Linked DNA regions of Rhinolophus ferrumequinum. The protein of the gene in region 2 binds, or shares a complex with, the protein of the main gene of each other region. Links are inferred from orthologs where the notes say so. Each region holds a gene or a part of one and is shown on either strand. Other genes may lie near its edges. The genes, in order: CALR3 and CELF1.

The links.
Region 1: CELF1 (region 2) and CALR3 share a complex: the UniProt entries of both Homo sapiens proteins name them as parts of the EIF2 complex. The link is inferred for Rhinolophus ferrumequinum from reciprocal best matches to the Homo sapiens genes CELF1 and CALR3.

Annotation. Positions count from the first base shown.
Region 1 is NC_046301.1:50,011,488-50,019,443, forward strand, and holds the start of CALR3 (calreticulin-3), read right to left. Parts: upstream 3,096-7,956; 5' UTR 3,037-3,095; coding exon 2,946-3,036; intron 2,726-2,945; coding exon 2,624-2,725; intron 37-2,623; coding exon 1-36. Other genes in the region: C18H19orf44 (uncharacterized protein C19orf44 homolog), read left to right, coding at 4,693-4,703, 6,613-7,372. UniProt on the Homo sapiens protein: During spermatogenesis, may act as a lectin-independent chaperone for specific client proteins such as ADAM3. Required for sperm fertility. CALR3 capacity for calcium-binding may be absent or much lower than that of CALR.
Region 2 is NC_046294.1:13,704,143-13,712,282, reverse strand, and holds the start of CELF1 (CUGBP Elav-like family member 1), read right to left. Parts: upstream 3,121-8,140; 5' UTR 2,969-3,120; intron 2,837-2,968; exon of another isoform or gene 2,631-2,836; intron 1-2,630. UniProt on the Homo sapiens protein: RNA-binding protein implicated in the regulation of several post-transcriptional events. Involved in pre-mRNA alternative splicing, mRNA translation and stability.

The DNA.
Region 1 (7,956 bases), on a different chromosome or scaffold from region 2:
TGGCATAGAATCGGCCATTTTGAGTGGTTTGCAGACCTTCAAACAAAAAGCATTCATGAAGGATTAGAAATGACACGCTACTCAGTGATGCAGGAAATTAAATAGTTGTCTTTCCCCTCCCCTAAATAATAAACCTCCTAACCACTTATGTCTATCCAGCGCTTGTAGCTTTTTTATACAATATACAATGGACATCCCACTACCAGGCTCTCTGCTGCCATGGAATTTCTTTTTGACACACTAAGAAGATGTTTTTGTACTTAATACACCAATGTTATGTCTTATGTTATAAAAACATTTCAGCTCTGAATGACAAATATGCAATCTAATTATGGATAAAAGGTTAATTTTGCTTCCATTCATCTTCCAAGGGGGTGGGAACATACAAGGAAGCTTGTGTAGCAACTGAATTAAAAAACAAAGCATTCTACTTCTTTTCCTTAATTCTCATCTTAAAACAGTGAGTTAAGACACAAAACAGCAAATGGATAGAGTGCTGATCTGTAAAAAAAGTGTTTCATTGCACTGGGGGCACTGGGTGAGTGTCATCTGTATGATGGCTCTTTTTATAGAGATACCATCCTTTCGTCATGTGAAGCATCTCATATTCGTTTTATAGGTTTGTGTTCACTTCAAGAACAAAACTCCTGGACTGGCCCAGTGGCTCAGGCGCTTGGGGCTCCGTGCTCCTAATGCCAAAGGCTGCCGGTTCAATTCCCACATGGGCCCGTGGGCTCTCAACCACAAGGTTGCCAGTTCAATTTTTCGACTCCTGCAAGGGATGGTGGGCAGAGCCCCCTGCAACTAACAAGGGCAACTGAACCTGGAGCTGAGCTGCGCCCTCCACAACTACGATTGAAAGGACAACAACTTGACTTGGAAAAAATCCTGGAAGTACACACTGTTCCCAATAAAGTACACACTGTTCCCCTTCCCCAATAAAATCTTTAAAAAACTAAAAAATAAAAAACATAAGAAAATAACAAAACCCCTTTTCAAGAGACACTAGGCTCTGTACCAAATCCTTATCTTATGCTGGAATTCATCGGACACACCTAAAAACAGAGCCAGTCTTATAACCTAGTCTTCCTCGCTCCAGACTCTGGCCCTCATAGCTGCCTACGCAGAGAGTTATCATATGAACGAACTTGGCATTTCGTATCAATAGGTCCAAGCCTGAACTCACGCTGATTTCCTACTACCACACCTCTCTTTCTGTGTTCCCCATTCTTTCCTCACCCTTGCCTTTCTCAGGGGATTTGTAGCCCCTCCCCCTCTCTTGGCCTCTACCATCGAGGCAATTCCTAAGGCCACGTGATTCACCACCTCCATGTCTTATTACCCTTCTCAGCGCCCCCCCATGGTTTCCTACCACCTCCCATCTCTGTCTGACTAAATTCTATCTGTACATCCATGGCTTCTATGTCATAGTCCCAGGGGACCATAACATAAGGGACCAAATTAACTGGTATCCTCAGTGCCTTGCCCGCGTTGCATCTGCATTTAGCAGTCATGTGCTGGAGTGAATGAAATGCACAGAATCTCAGGAATCCAGACTGGAGGAAGGAAAAACATTGTGGAGAAAAAAGCAAGTGGGAACTTCTGCCCTTGGACAAACTTCATGGAATAACCTGTTTGTTTTCATTCCATGTAGTCTGAATTCCACATAGCCTGATTTTTGACCAACTCTTTGGGCCAACATGTAACTTACAAAACAACGGATATACAATCGAAAACCAGAGGCTGCTGGATAGGGCAACGTCGGGCCAAGATAAAGGTTGAATGGAAGGTGGAAAAGAGGAAAATTTTTCATCCACATAAGGGTCGGCAAATTTTTTATGTAAGGTGAGAGAGTAAATGTTTTAGACTTTGTCAGCCTTTTGGTCTCTGTCCCAACTACTCCATTCTGTCTTTGCAGTATGAAAGCAGCCATAGACTATATGTAAATAAATGAGCATAGTTGTGTTCCCCTGAAACTTCTTGTATGAACCCTGAAATTTCATATATTTCATTGAATTTTGTATAATTTCTGCCTATCACAAAATAATATTCCCCTTTCAGTGTTCCAACAATTAAAAAATGTAAAAATCATTCTCAGCTTGTTGGCTGTACACAAAAACAGGAGGTAGACAAGCTGTAGTTTGTTCCCTTTGATCATCAGGAATGAGAAGAAGCCAGAATAGAGGTTATCCTTGGTACCAGGAGGCTACTGACTGAAAGGGTGGGGGCAAAAGGGAGGCCTCTAGGGAGGAGGGGCTGAAAATGTTCCCTAGTTTGACCTGTGTGTACAGACGTAAACATTCCTCCTGTTGTATCCCCTAAGATCTGTACACTTGACAACATCTAACTTTTACCTTGTTTTACTTCTAAAAGTGAAAATAAGAAGTATTTTTTCCTCTGCAAGGCAAGGCCCGGGGGTCTCTGCAGTGACTACAAAGCAGGGTGATCTCGGGCAAGTAAAGAAAGGAGAAAACAAGAAATAATGCCAAACCCTACCTGTGCCTTCGTTTCCCCAGCTGTGAATGGGTGTAAGAGGTGTTCGCCGTGAGCCACACCTACCTTGAAAGACTGTTATGGAGAGTTTAGCATTTAGCTAGACTTTTCTCACGATTCCTACACTAACCTTTGTCTTTCTCTTTATGGCCATAAAATTTTCCCGACGAGAGTCTAAAATGCCCCAATTGGGAGTCATTAGTGGATTGCACCCATCGGTTCCTCCAGCGCTCTGTGGGGCGAAACAACAATGGTTAGGGCTGAAAACTGTTAATTTGGGTCACGGTGAGGGGGCCCATGGTGAGGGGGCCCCTCGAAGCTTCGAAGCTTCGAGGCTTAGCCTCATTCATTCCACTGCGACGCGCCAGGGCCACAGGAGACTCAGGCCATCCCTCGAGCAGCACGGAACCGGGGAGCTTACGACCCCTGCACCGCGGGCGTCGCCCCTTCACCTCCGTCTAGAAATTCCTCCTGAAAGTAGACGGTTGCCAGCGCCACTCGCAGCACGCAGACCGCCCAGGCCAGGACGTGAGCCGCTGCCATGAAGGGTGCAGGGCACTTCTGTAACCGCCTCTGCTCCCAGCGCTCTCTGCCGCGCTCCGTCCCCGTCCCGGGACTACAACTCCCGTCATACCTCGCGATTGTGACCTGAGGCATGATTGATCCCTGATGCGCGGCGTAATCCGGTCCCGTACTACCACTCTCATGACGCCCCACAATTGTGACCTGTGGCGCTATTGGTCTTTGGGGGGGCGGTACCTGCTGGGAAATGTAGTCACTTCCGCCTTGGCGCCGTTGCCGGGGCAACGGACCTTTGGTATGAGTGCCCCGCGGAGATCCTAGGCGGCCGTCGCGGATGGACGCCATGGGAGGAGGTTGGAAGGACTAGCTGGGCGGCGGCCGGGCTTGGGAGAGGAGTTGCAGGGAATCGGGGCTCGTCCGGGGCTGAGCTGGGAAGGCTGCCCCCACCTCCCGCCCCGCGCCTCATGCCTCAGTTTCCCTGTCTGGGCCCACTCGGGCGCGTGATCCGGTGTGAGTCGTTTCCGATTTGGGGAAAGACCCCGGAGAAAGACTCCGAGGCACGTCAGTGTTTTCAAAGTTTTTATTTATTTTTAACAACTTTGAGGATGCATTTACATACCATACAGTTCACCCCCTTTAAGTGTACAACTCCGTTGTTTTTAGTAAACTTACCAAGTGGTGCAGTTATCACCACAATCCAGCTTTAGAACTTTCCATCACTGGAAGAAAATCCCTCTTACCCCTTTGCAGTCCATCCCCGCTACCACCCCCAGCCCCAGGCAACCACTGATGTACTTTTGGACTCTGTTGATTTGCCTTTTCTGGGCAGTCCTTACGAATGGAATCGTACAGTGTGTGGTGTTTTGCATCTGGCTACTTTCACTTATTGTAATGTGTTTGAGATGTATGCCTATTGTTGTGTGTATTGGTATTTGTTCTTTCTTATTGCTGAATAGTATTTCATTGCATGGATGGACCGCAGTTCTCACCCACTCTCTAGTTAATAGGTATTTGGATTGTTTCCACTTTTTGCTTATTGTAAATAATAACTATTATGAATATTTGCATACATTTCAATTATCTTGGCCACATGGAGTAGAATTGCTGGATCATTTGGTAACTATGGTTACCCTTTTGAGGAACCACCAGACTGCATTCCAAATTGGTGACTGCATCATTTTACAATCCACCCCCCCAACAGGGTATGAGGGTTCCACTTTTTTCACATCTTTACCAATGCTTGTTATTATCTGTTTTTGATTATAGCCATTCTGGTGAGTGTGATGTGGGATCTCCTGGTGGTTTTGACTTGCTTTTCCCTAATGGCTATTAACGTTGAACATCTTTTCATGGGCTTGTTGGCCATTTGTGTATATTCTTTGGAGAGATGCCTGTTCACATCATTTGCCTACTGATTTATTTTTAATTGTATGTATTTTAAATAGATCTATTTTACTTGTGGTAATATGTACATAACATAAAATTTGCCATTTTAACCATTTCTTCTATTGTTTTATTTTAAAACCTAGGGAAAATTTCAGAAGAACTAAATGCTAGAAAACCTGGCCTGGTGATAGGGCCTCCCCTCTGACCCACAGAAAGTTCTGGACTGAGTCGTCTCCTGGGCCTCAGCTACAAAAATATTAACGAAGATAGCTGTTGACGTTTCAGAGCAGTATGGAGACGAGGTACGATTCTGCGTCTTGTCTCTTTTGCCTCACACATTATTATTATTATTATTTCTTAAAGATTTTATTGGGGAAGGGGAACAGGACTTCATTGGGGAACAGTGTGTACTTCCAGGCCTTTTTTCAAGGCAAGTTGTTGTCCTTTCAGTCTTAGTTGTGGAGCTTAGTTGCGCAGCTCAGCTCCAGGTCCAGTTGCCATTGTTAGTTGCAGGGGGCGCAGCCCACCATCCCTTGTGGGAGTCGAACCAGCAACCTTGTGGTTGAGAGGACGCGCTCCAACCAACTGAGCCATCCGGGAGCTCAGCGACCCCTCAGCTCAAGGTGCCTTTTTCAATCTTAGTTGCAGGGGGCGCAGTCCACCATCCCTTGTGGGAGTCGAACCAGCAACCTTTTGGTTGAGAGCCCGCGCTCCAACCGACTGAGCCATCCGGGAGCTCAGCGGCCGCTCAGCTCAAGGTGCCTTGTTCAATCTTAGTTGCAGGGGGCGCAGTCCACCATCCCTTGCGGGATTCGAGGAGTCGAACCAGCAACCTTGTGGTTGAGAGCCCGCGCTCCAACCAACTGAGACAGCTGACCACCCGGGAGCTGAGCGGCAGCTCATTGACTTCATTATAGTTGCGGAGGGTGCAGCTCGCTGGCCCATGTGGGAATCAAACCAGCAGCCCCGCTGCCCAGAGCTCACGCTCTCTAACCAACTGAGACCCCCGTCTGCGCCGCCTTACATATTATTTTGCGGGAGACATTATGCTCACAGAACAGATCTCCCTCATTCCTTTTAATCGCTGCATCGTGTTCCATCATCTGAGTGTGGTCTCCTGGACTTTACCAGGTCTCTATTGATAGGTTCAGGTTTTCGATGAGTACAAACAACACTGCCCTGGCATTCCTTAAATATACATCTCGGCGCGTTTGAGAATGTAACTGTAGGTAAATTCCCAGATGTGAAATTGCCAGGTCAGGGGTCTGTGCAGTTCACATTTTCATTGCTGGTGCTGAGTTTCGCATTAAAGGGCTGCAGCCAATACATACCCATCCGTGCCGTATTTCTCCATCTGTTTACATCTTTAAAGCCTTTTGAAACCTTTGTACATCTTGCAGTGGATCGTTCCTACTCTCTCAGGGGCACACAGGAACTCTGAGAATATGATGAAAGCTCTGGTCCTTCTCCCACAACAGTGTACGCCAGCATGCACACTCGACCTGTGGCCGACAGTCGGTGGGGGGTGCTGTGTCTGTCCATAGCTTTCCCCTCCTTCCTGGGCAGTGGTTCTCACACTTTAAGTGAAATAAGATTTGGCAAGGAGCCCATGAAATACACAGACTGTGCTTCAACAGCTTTTTGTGAGAGAGCTGAGGACACTTGGATAAAAGAGGAGCCTCGACTTGGGGTACGATTGGGGAGCAGGACTCACTCGGATGACAGGGAAAGTAACTGGTGAGGTAGTGAAGCCAAGTGGGGGACAGTGGGGTCTTTGGAATCAGACCTGAGCTTTGAATTTGGCTCAGCTACTCATCGGCCAGGTGACCTAACCTGTGGGGGCTTTCATTTCCTCCACCTCCTGTAAGAAGGGGTGACAATAATCGACTCATGGGGTTGTGTGAGGGTTAGATGAGGTAATGTACCTCTGAGCAGAGGGGTGGGCACACTGCTGAAGCCTGAGAACTGCTGGTGCTCATGTTTCATATGTGACAGGTCTCATTTAAGACCAGGTGTTGAACGGTCATTCATTAAGTGGTACCAAGTGTCTAATCATTTTACTTGTCAGCATCAGGCTTGAAGGGGAGGCTCTGGCCAGACCGCGAAAGAGGATTTGCTCTCTTCTGGGGTGGTGAGAGCCACTGAGAGATTTGAATGCACAATACAAACATCAGGTGTTCTTACTATAAGTTTTCTTTCTTTGCTCCCTAGAATGGCTTCAACAAGGAAAACCAGCCATCCCATGCGTGATATCTTGGGCGATTTCAGTGATATTTCCTTAGAAGATTCCAAGGTGGAAGAAATCAGAAACTTGAACATCAGTAAGAATCTCACCAAAAGAGCTACCAGTCATAGCAGATTTCTAAAAAGAAGCCAGACTCTGGGTGAAAAACACTTATTCCCGAAAGAGGATGCTGGCCTGGGGGGTGGGCCCTGGCTGTCCTCAGGTAGACCCCTGACCACGGCCTCGAAGCTCAGGACCAGTGCCGCACTCAGGAAGCTGGCCCAGATTGAATCCAAGATCATGAACCGGAAGGTGCAGCTGGACTTGTCTGACATGGAATCCAACCCAAAGACCTCCAAGGACAGTCTTCCCAGGAGAGCAGACGAAATTCCTCCAAGGAATACGGTTGAACTTTCTTCACAGGAAACAGTCAAAACCTCCCAGAAGCAGGCCTGTGCAAATCCTGTCACTGAGAGTGACACGCTGAGAGGAAAGACCAGTAGGTTTCTAAAGAAGAGAGAGCCATCCATTGAAAAGGTATCCCCTAAAGCCCATTTTGGGAAAGAGCGGAATTTTCCAACACCCAAAGAAAAAGAACCTACTAGAAAATTGGATTCTCCAGACAGTGATGAAGAGGAAATGAAAGAGTTGCTGGGAAGCTTGATGGAATCTTCTAGAGAAAAAGAAATACGCACAAAGCAGGGTTTAACCAGAGTCAATGAGAATGAACAAATTGAACTATTCTTGGTAAGGTTCGCATGTATTTCTTTTCAACAAAGCCTTTGCATTTGTACCTTTCTGTCATAGAGCTAGAGACTTGATAGCAGCCGTCACCCATCTACCTGAGAAAAGGGATTGCCGAGGAAAATTTGGGTTTCAGACAGTCACAGCTACTATTGTGGGCATGCTCTGTAGGGGACGGAATTATTGGGGGCACATTAGGCAGTTCTGCCATACTAACTAATTCGTTACTGTGTACGCCGCAGGACAGCACTTTGTCAGACGGATCCAACACCAGCAGTGATTAATGCCTTCAGCGACCACGCCTACTTGTCACTTGTACCACACAGCAATCGTTCACTTGGGAAGACTGTATTTCCATTTCTTAATTGGGATGAAAGTCACATAAAATTAACCATTTTTAAATGAACAATCCAGTGGCATTTGGTACATTTACAATATTGTGCAACTACCACCTCTGTGTAGTTCCAGACATTTTTATCACCCCCAAAGGAGACCCATTAAATAACCACTCCTATTTTCCCCTCCCCCAGCCCCTGGCAACCACCCATCTACTTTCTGTCTCTGGATTTGCCCATATCAATAGCATC
Region 2 (8,140 bases):
AGGGAGCAAAGAGGAGTTGTGCAATGGGTATAAACTTTCAGATTTGCAAGATGAAAATTCTATAGATCTGTTTCCCAACAACATTAATGTATTTAATGCCACAAAACCATATATTCAAAACTAGTTAAGATGACAAATTTTTTGTTACGTGTTTTACCACATCAAAAATGCGAATATAAAACATGGTTAAAATGGCAAATTTTGTATATATATTTCACACAATTTTTAAAAATTAATAATGTAATATATCAAAACCCACTAAATTGCGTGTTATGTTAATTATATCTCAATAAAGCTACAGGAACAACAACAAATAAGGCAGAAGAAACAGCAATTTGTTGGGAGTATCCTAGAGCAGAAAGGAGTCTAATGCTCCTACTTCCTCCAACTTCACCCTGGCCTCCAGGTGACAGCTCTTCTCTTTCCCTTTCCAAGGCCCACCACCACTTCTAACCTCCCACTTCCTTATTAGGTCCAGCCTCACAGTAAAATTAAGCTCAAGAAGCTACAGTGGCAGTCACAGGAAGGGGCACCGAATTCAGGACTCACTCTACATTTAGGAGCAGAGCCTGAATATTTTAAAAAAAACAAACAAACCCACCATACAGTAGACATACAATCACTGTTAGGTCTCTGCCCTTCCTCTCCTCCTCTTCCAGTCCAGCATGTTTAAAAGAGCAACTTCTCTGCTCCTGTACTGGGATATCCACTGGCCTACCTCACACGTGCTGGAGCTGTTAATACAGAGCATCATTTAAAGTGTGGTCGTTAAACCATGCCTATGACCTATTATTAAATCTTAAAAACATGTCACAAAACCATTACTAGGGGGTTCTCTTTTGGTAAAATCAATATTTCTATAACATATAAAAAGGATAAGATAAAGACTAAATATTAATAATATTAATAATCACCTGACTGGTGGGAGTAAGGGTGAGTTTCTTCCTTTTGGGTTTATCTATTTTTATAATAAATCTATAACTTAATAAGAAAAATAAATACAAGTCTTTATAAAAAATAAACAAATCATCAGGCTCAATCAAAATTTCCCTGTCTGCCTCTCATACCACAGGCACTTTCACGTGCTATGGCACTAAAGTTAAATTAGCAGCATGTGAGGTAGACACTATTTCCTCCATTTTGCAGATGAGCAGAAACTGAGGCTCAGAACAGTGAGTTGGTCACAATTATACAGCTAACAACTGACAGAGCAAGGATTACAATCCAGGCCTCCTAACTCCAAGCTCAGGAACCTTTCCAGTCCATCACATCTTAAAGGGCAATTTGCTCGTGGTATTGTTTTTAAAAAAATCTGTGATGAGACTGTTTTAAGAACACTTGCTATGTAACCTTGGGCAGAAGTCACTTAACCTCTGGAGGCCTCAATTTCCTCATCTGAAAAGGGACGGGGTTGGAAAAAACATTCTTTCTCTAACAGCCCCACATGCTAATGGATTTTAAGTCCAGACACTATCTAGGTGATAGCATCTAGGAAAAGAAAACCCTATGAGGAAGAATGAATGGATGGAGAAAAGTTGTGGCCTATGCTCTGGGACACGAATTATTCTTAATGGAAACAGGTGTCAAGAGGAAGGAACCACTGGGGGAACCATAAACTTCCTGGTTAAAGCAACAGCTGAAAGCTCCAGATTCAATCTTGGCTAACTCATGATCAGAACTACGTAGTATAAAGCTAGAAGAATATTAAAACTGGCACGAGGGAGTGTGGGGAAACTGTAGCAATAGTTTATGCATGCTACGGTAACTCCATGCTTTTCCAAGTGGACTTATCCCGTGTTCAAACAGAAAGAGCCCTGGACGATTCTAAGTGGAGACACCTCCTTCCTCACCAAGAATTCCAGGAGACTGAAACTTGCATAGCACTCCAGATGCTACACTTGAAGAGAGCCAACCCAACACTTGTTGGAAAGGTGAAAGGATGCAAGAAAAGCCTCTCCAACCCACAGAGACTCACAGACAGTAAAAAGCCTTTAAAAGGTGAAGTTCCTGTAAGGAATTCACGGGGTATCTGTAACCTCTTACACTGCAGACATTACAACACTCCACGCTATTTAAAACTGTTATACAGCCTTGTTACTCGAGGGTAATAAAAGTACAGCATTGACTCCGCTGGCAAAAATGCTTCCATTTTGCTGAAAAGTCTCCGAACAAAATCTCGCCACCTTCTTCTCAACTATAAGGACGAGCCTAATCCAACAAGAAGCTCCTTAAAGCTTGAGCAACAGTCTTCAAGAATTAAAACATCCTGCCCCGAGGACAACAACCAAGACAGCAATGGCTTTAAATTCAAAACCGGGTGCCTAGCAGAAAGCATTTCACTGCGCTCCGCGCTCCCGGGTGCGAGATCCCAGCCCTGCTTCTAGTAGGCCATGACTGGGTGAACACCTGATGTGGGGGGAGGGCGAGCCAAGGCCCTTGCGGATCTGGGCCGAGGAAAAGGGGCTCGGAAGGCTCCTGAGGAGAAGCGCTGCCCTCCAGAGGCGGGGGGTCCTGGGGCCCCCCAGCAGTGAGCTCCAAGAACACGTGGGGCGACAGGAGCAGGGAAGGGGTGTCTCGGGCAAGCAGCCTGGGTCTGGCAAGGCGGCCGGAAAAAGAGAGGACGGACCTACCCCTGGGCAGAGAACGAAGGCTTCTGGGCCCGGAGGTGAACGCAAAGGGCGCAGAGAGAGGGAGCGAGGCCACGAGGAGGGCGGGTCTCCCTGGCCGCGGGGGCACGCGCCGGGCAAGAGCTGCGGGACCCGGGGAGCTGAGGACCCCGACACGCTGAAGGAGACAGCTGACCTGCCTCCAGGGCGCGGGGAACGAAGAGCGGCCGCGCCCGGACGGCCCTGTGCCCCACGGCCGCCCGGACCGGACCCGCCCCGCGGCGCCTCCCTCCTGCCTCCTTTCCCTCCCTCGCTCCCTCCCTCCCACCCGTGGCCCGTTATCCCGCGGCCGCCGCACTCACCAGCGGCTGCACCTGAGCCCGCCGCTACCTCAGCTGCTGCCTGCGCCTCCGCAGCCGCCGCCGCCTCGCTGCTGAGGCCGAGTCCCGGGGGAGCCTCCGCGTCCCGCCGCCGCTGTCGCTGCCGCCAGAACAGAACACCCCAAAATGGCGGCACTTCCGGCACCTACCACCGGCGGGGAGGGCCTAGGAGGAGGGGTAGGGCGGTGAAGGGGAACGTACCATCGCGGTGCCGCCCGCAGCGCCGATCAGAGCGGAGCGCGGCGCAGGGGCGGGCCGAGCTCCCGGCGCTGCAGCGCCCCCTCGGGCTGGGGAGTAGAGAAGCAGCAGCGCCGTAGCCCCCCGGGGCTGCGGGGGAACTCGGGGAGCTGCTGGGGCTCATCTCTTTGTCTCTGAGCTTTCCTGGAGGGAAGGGTGGGAACACCACGGCCTGGGAATCTGAAGTTCTCGGCTCTGCGTACCGCACCCAGCAGGAACTCTGGATGGCTTGGTGGGCGAGGACCCCTGCTTGGCACTGAATATGCGCATAATAAAATACTTGGTAAATGAATGGTTGGGTTGAATGCCTTGGTGTTCGGCCACAAGACAAACTCTCCTTTCTGCCCCAGCAGATGAGTTACAGGACCCAGGCCTTTCTCCTTTGCTGAGATGTGGAATGTGAATGTATTGCAAGCTTTCTGAATTAGCGGAGTGCTTTCTAGCGGGTTGATCCGCTGTGTGAACGCACAACCTTGCAAAAATCCCTGCAGCACCACGAAGCTTATAGGGGTTCTGTTAAGAAACTGATGTCCCAGCCCTAAACTGCTTTTCCCAGAAAAAAAAAAAAAATTCTGAACAGCCCAGGTTAGGACGCTAAAGATCAGGATTTAGGTGGAATGCAAACAGTGCAACAGTTTATTCTTTTTAAAAGGCTAATAACGTCTTTTGTTTGGCAGGTTCTACACCTCGTGGGACAGTGAAATAGAGTCAGAAAAAGAAAACTTAGTTCTGGGACCTTTTGGCCCCAGCAACATGCAAATAACTAATGGGTTTGCAAATGATTTTCCTGCAACGTCATCGGGCTTTCCAAAGCAAATAATTCTCATACCCACCAATACTGATTATACTCTACCTTACCACAAAACACGCGCGCGCGCACACACACGCACGCACATAAGTGGACTCCCAAGCATAAGTCTCAAGGGTTATCACATATATTGGAAGCAACTCTTTCCCTTTTAGGAGTAAAACAAAACTAACCACAGTTTTTGTGGTATCTTGTAGAGCGGAACAATTAGCTGCTGAATTTAACACTATCATATTCCCTAATCATGCTATGTAGTTTGTCATTTTACATTTATTATGCTAAGATATTATCTTGTTAATTGTTTTATGTGTAATTTACTGAGAACATCTTATATCTATAGACCCTGTAGCTTATAGAATGTTGTCACATACATTCCCACAATTTTATATTTGTCTCCCAGCTACCACAGACTATAGAAACCTTTTAAGTGGAGAATCACTCATTTTTTGTGAATGATAGAATTATCCAGATATCCATATGGTTCACTTCCTTACCTTCTTCAGGTCTTGACTTAAAATAAACATTACCTTCTCAGTTGGGCCTTCCCTGACCATCGTATTTAAAATTACACATTAATGGACTTATTGGGATGATTACTTTGTGAGGTATATAAATGTCTAATCGCTAGTTGTTTTGTACACCTGAAACTAATTATAAGTAAATAAAATTACACACACATACATCCATGCTTCTAACCTCCCTTTCCTGCTTTGTTTTTATCTAAAGTACTTATCACTATCTAACATAGTATATTTTGTACTTCATATTTTATTTTATTTGTAGTCTTCCCCCACCAGAAGATCAACTTGATGGGGATTGAGATTTTGTCTGTTTTATCCTCAGGGCCTACAATAATGCTTGACACATAGTAGGTGCTCAATAAATATTTTTTATTTGATTTACATATATTGTGTAATGATTACCACAATAAATTTAGTTAACATCCATCATCACATACAGATACAAAAAAAAATATGAAAAATATGTTTTTTTTTTCTTGTGATGAGAGCTCTTAGGATCTATTCTTTTTTAACTTTCGAGTATACCACTACATAGCACTGTTAAGTATACTCATGTTGTACGTTTCATCCCCTGAACTTACTTATCTTACAACTGGAAGTTTGTGCCTTTTGATCACCTTCATCCATGAGCTAAATGAGAGCAGGGACCACACCTGTCTTGTTATGCTCATGTTGGACCAGTGCTTTTCACAGTGTCTGGTTCAACAGATGTTTCTTGAAGGGCACCCAGAAACTTCTTCCTATTTTATCTGTCCCTTGACCTCAGGCTCCCATTGGCAGAGAGGAACTGCCACTCCTAGCGGTGTCACTTTTGCATCTAATTACCGAGGGGCCACAGCCCATTAGCCCAAAGCTGGGGGGAAGAACAATTACATGAAGAACATAAATGAGCTCTTATAACTTCAAAGGGCTTCACAGCACAGAAAAAATACTCGAGTCCAAATACAAAAAAAAGCCAGATGTGAGATGAAGAGCTCCCTGTTTCATTTTTTGCCTTCCTAATTGATTAAGATTTGTTTTTAAAAATAGCCAGTGTTAGCAAGGGGGCAGAGAAACAAGCCGCCTTCAAGTGCTGGTGGGAGTAAAATTCAGATAATCTATCTGGAGGAATATGAAATTTTATATCCCTTTCTAGGAACTTATTTTAAAGAAATAACCATGGATAAGTGCAGAGATGTACTGATGTATATGGATCATTACTTTGTTCAAATAGCATAAAATTCGATACAAAAGGAGATTGATAAAGTATAGTATATCCATAGCTTAGAATATTATATATAATTTCAAATAATGATCCAGAAAAATATTTAATTGTGGGAAACTGTTAATATGATACATGTTTAATGAATAAAGCAGGTAACAAATTAATAGGTACAGATGATTCCATCTTTGTTGGAAAGTGTGTTTGTTGAGAGAAAGAGACAAAACCCAGAAAGAATAGTTATTAAAGTATTAACAGTGCTCTCCTCACCACCATTTGGTATTATCAGTCCTTTTTTAATTTTAGTCATTCTGGTAGGGGTGTAGTGGTATTGGATTGTGGTTTAAATTGTTTTTTCCCTAATGGCCAATAATGTTGAAAAACTTTACATATATAGTACTTACTGACCATTTGGATATTCTCTTTTGTGAATCGCTTACTCAAGTCTCTCTCTCTCTCTCTCTCTCTCTCTCTCTCTCTCTCTCTCTCTCTCTCTCTCTCTCTCTCCCTGATTTGTTGGAGTTCTTTATATATTTTGAATACAAGTTCCTTGTTGGAGATATGTATTTTATATATCTTCTCCCAGTCTGTGGCTTGCCTTTTACTCTCTTAATGAATAAAAGTTTTTAATTCTAGTAAGGCCCTATTTATTGGTCCTTATTTTATGGTTGGTAATTTCTGTGTTCTATTTAAGAAAGCTTTGTTTACTCAGGCTGTGAACATTTTCTCCTTTAATTTTCTCGTTTATTGCTTTAATCTTTTGCTATTAGATCTAGGATTCATCTCTAATTTTTGTATATGGTGTGAAACAGAGGTCAAGTTTCTTTTCTTTTTCTTTCATGTGGATATACAGTTGATCCATCACCACTTGAAAAGACCATCTTTTCCCTCCTGAGATTTGCAGTGAAGACTTATTTTTTTGCACTTTTCAAATATTGTTGGTAGCAATGAGAATTGATACAACCACTTTGGAAGACTGACTATATCCACTAAAGCCAAACAGCTAAATGACTTATGCCCTATGATGCAGCAATTCTACTCCCAACAGAAACATGTACTTATTTCCACCAAAACCATGGTCTATAGCACTCTTTTTAATAATAGCCCAAACTGGAAATGAAAGGTAAATAAATATGCAGCATACTTACAATGGACTACTTATATAGCAATCAGAAGGAACAAACTGCTATTGCATATAACACTATGGATGAATTGCACAGACATAATATTGATCAAAATAAGCCAGGAAAAAAAGAGCATATATTGTATGAGTCTATTTAATTAAAGTTTGGGAACAGTCAAAAATAATAAGAAAAGTCAGAAAAGAGGTTACTTTTGATTGACTGAAGGGAGTATAAGGGAGCTTTCTGGAGAATTAGAACATTTTATATTTAGTCTGGGTGGTCATCACATGGGAGTATAGACAAATTAAATTTATCAAGTCATACCCTTAGAATTTATGCACTTTCTATCGCCAGGAAGAATAACAATAAGTGAGCATTAGGCAAATGGACAAAGGAAACGAACATGCAATTCCTAAGAATACGAATGGCCAATAAACATAAGATGTTCAATCTCAGCTCACATATAAAGATATTCAAATTAAAACAATGTAAATTTATTTTTTTACTGTCAGTTTGGGATAGAAATAAATTTTAAAGGTTGATAAAGTTGTGAGAAATAGGCACTCTCAATGTATACAGACATAGCCATAGTGGAGGAAAATTTAACAATAGTCATTAAAATTAAAAATATTCACAGCTTTTATATAAAATTCTGGAAAATGCTAATAAATCTGTAGTGGATCAGTGGCTCCCAGGGAATGGGATATGAGAATAAAGAAGTGCGGGAAGAAGGGGCTACAAAGGGGCATGAGAAAACTTTTTGGGGTGATGGATACGTTCCATCATCTTCATTGCAGTGATGTTTTCACAAGTGCGGTATATATATATATATATATATATATATATATATATATATACACACATATATATGACATATCATATATATGTCAAAGTGTACACTTTAAATGTGTAATATATGTCAATTATACTCAACAAAACTATGAAAAGTTCTCCATGACCTTTTAAAAATATGAACATATTCTTTAATATAGCAATTGTATCTAGAAATGTTTCTTTCAGAAACGCAAGAAGTGGGAAAAGCATACACAAGGCCTTTTTTGGCAGCATTCTTTGATTCAGCCAACTGGTATTAATTGAATGCTAACTATGTCAGACACTGGGCTAGACGGTAGGGTCACAGGCATGAATAAGAGAGACAGGGCTCTGACCTCATGGAACTCACTATATTCGCCATTGGCTAAAAAAAAAAAAAAAAAAAAAAAAAAAAAAAAAAAAAGGAAGATATGCAGCTGGGTTCCCCAT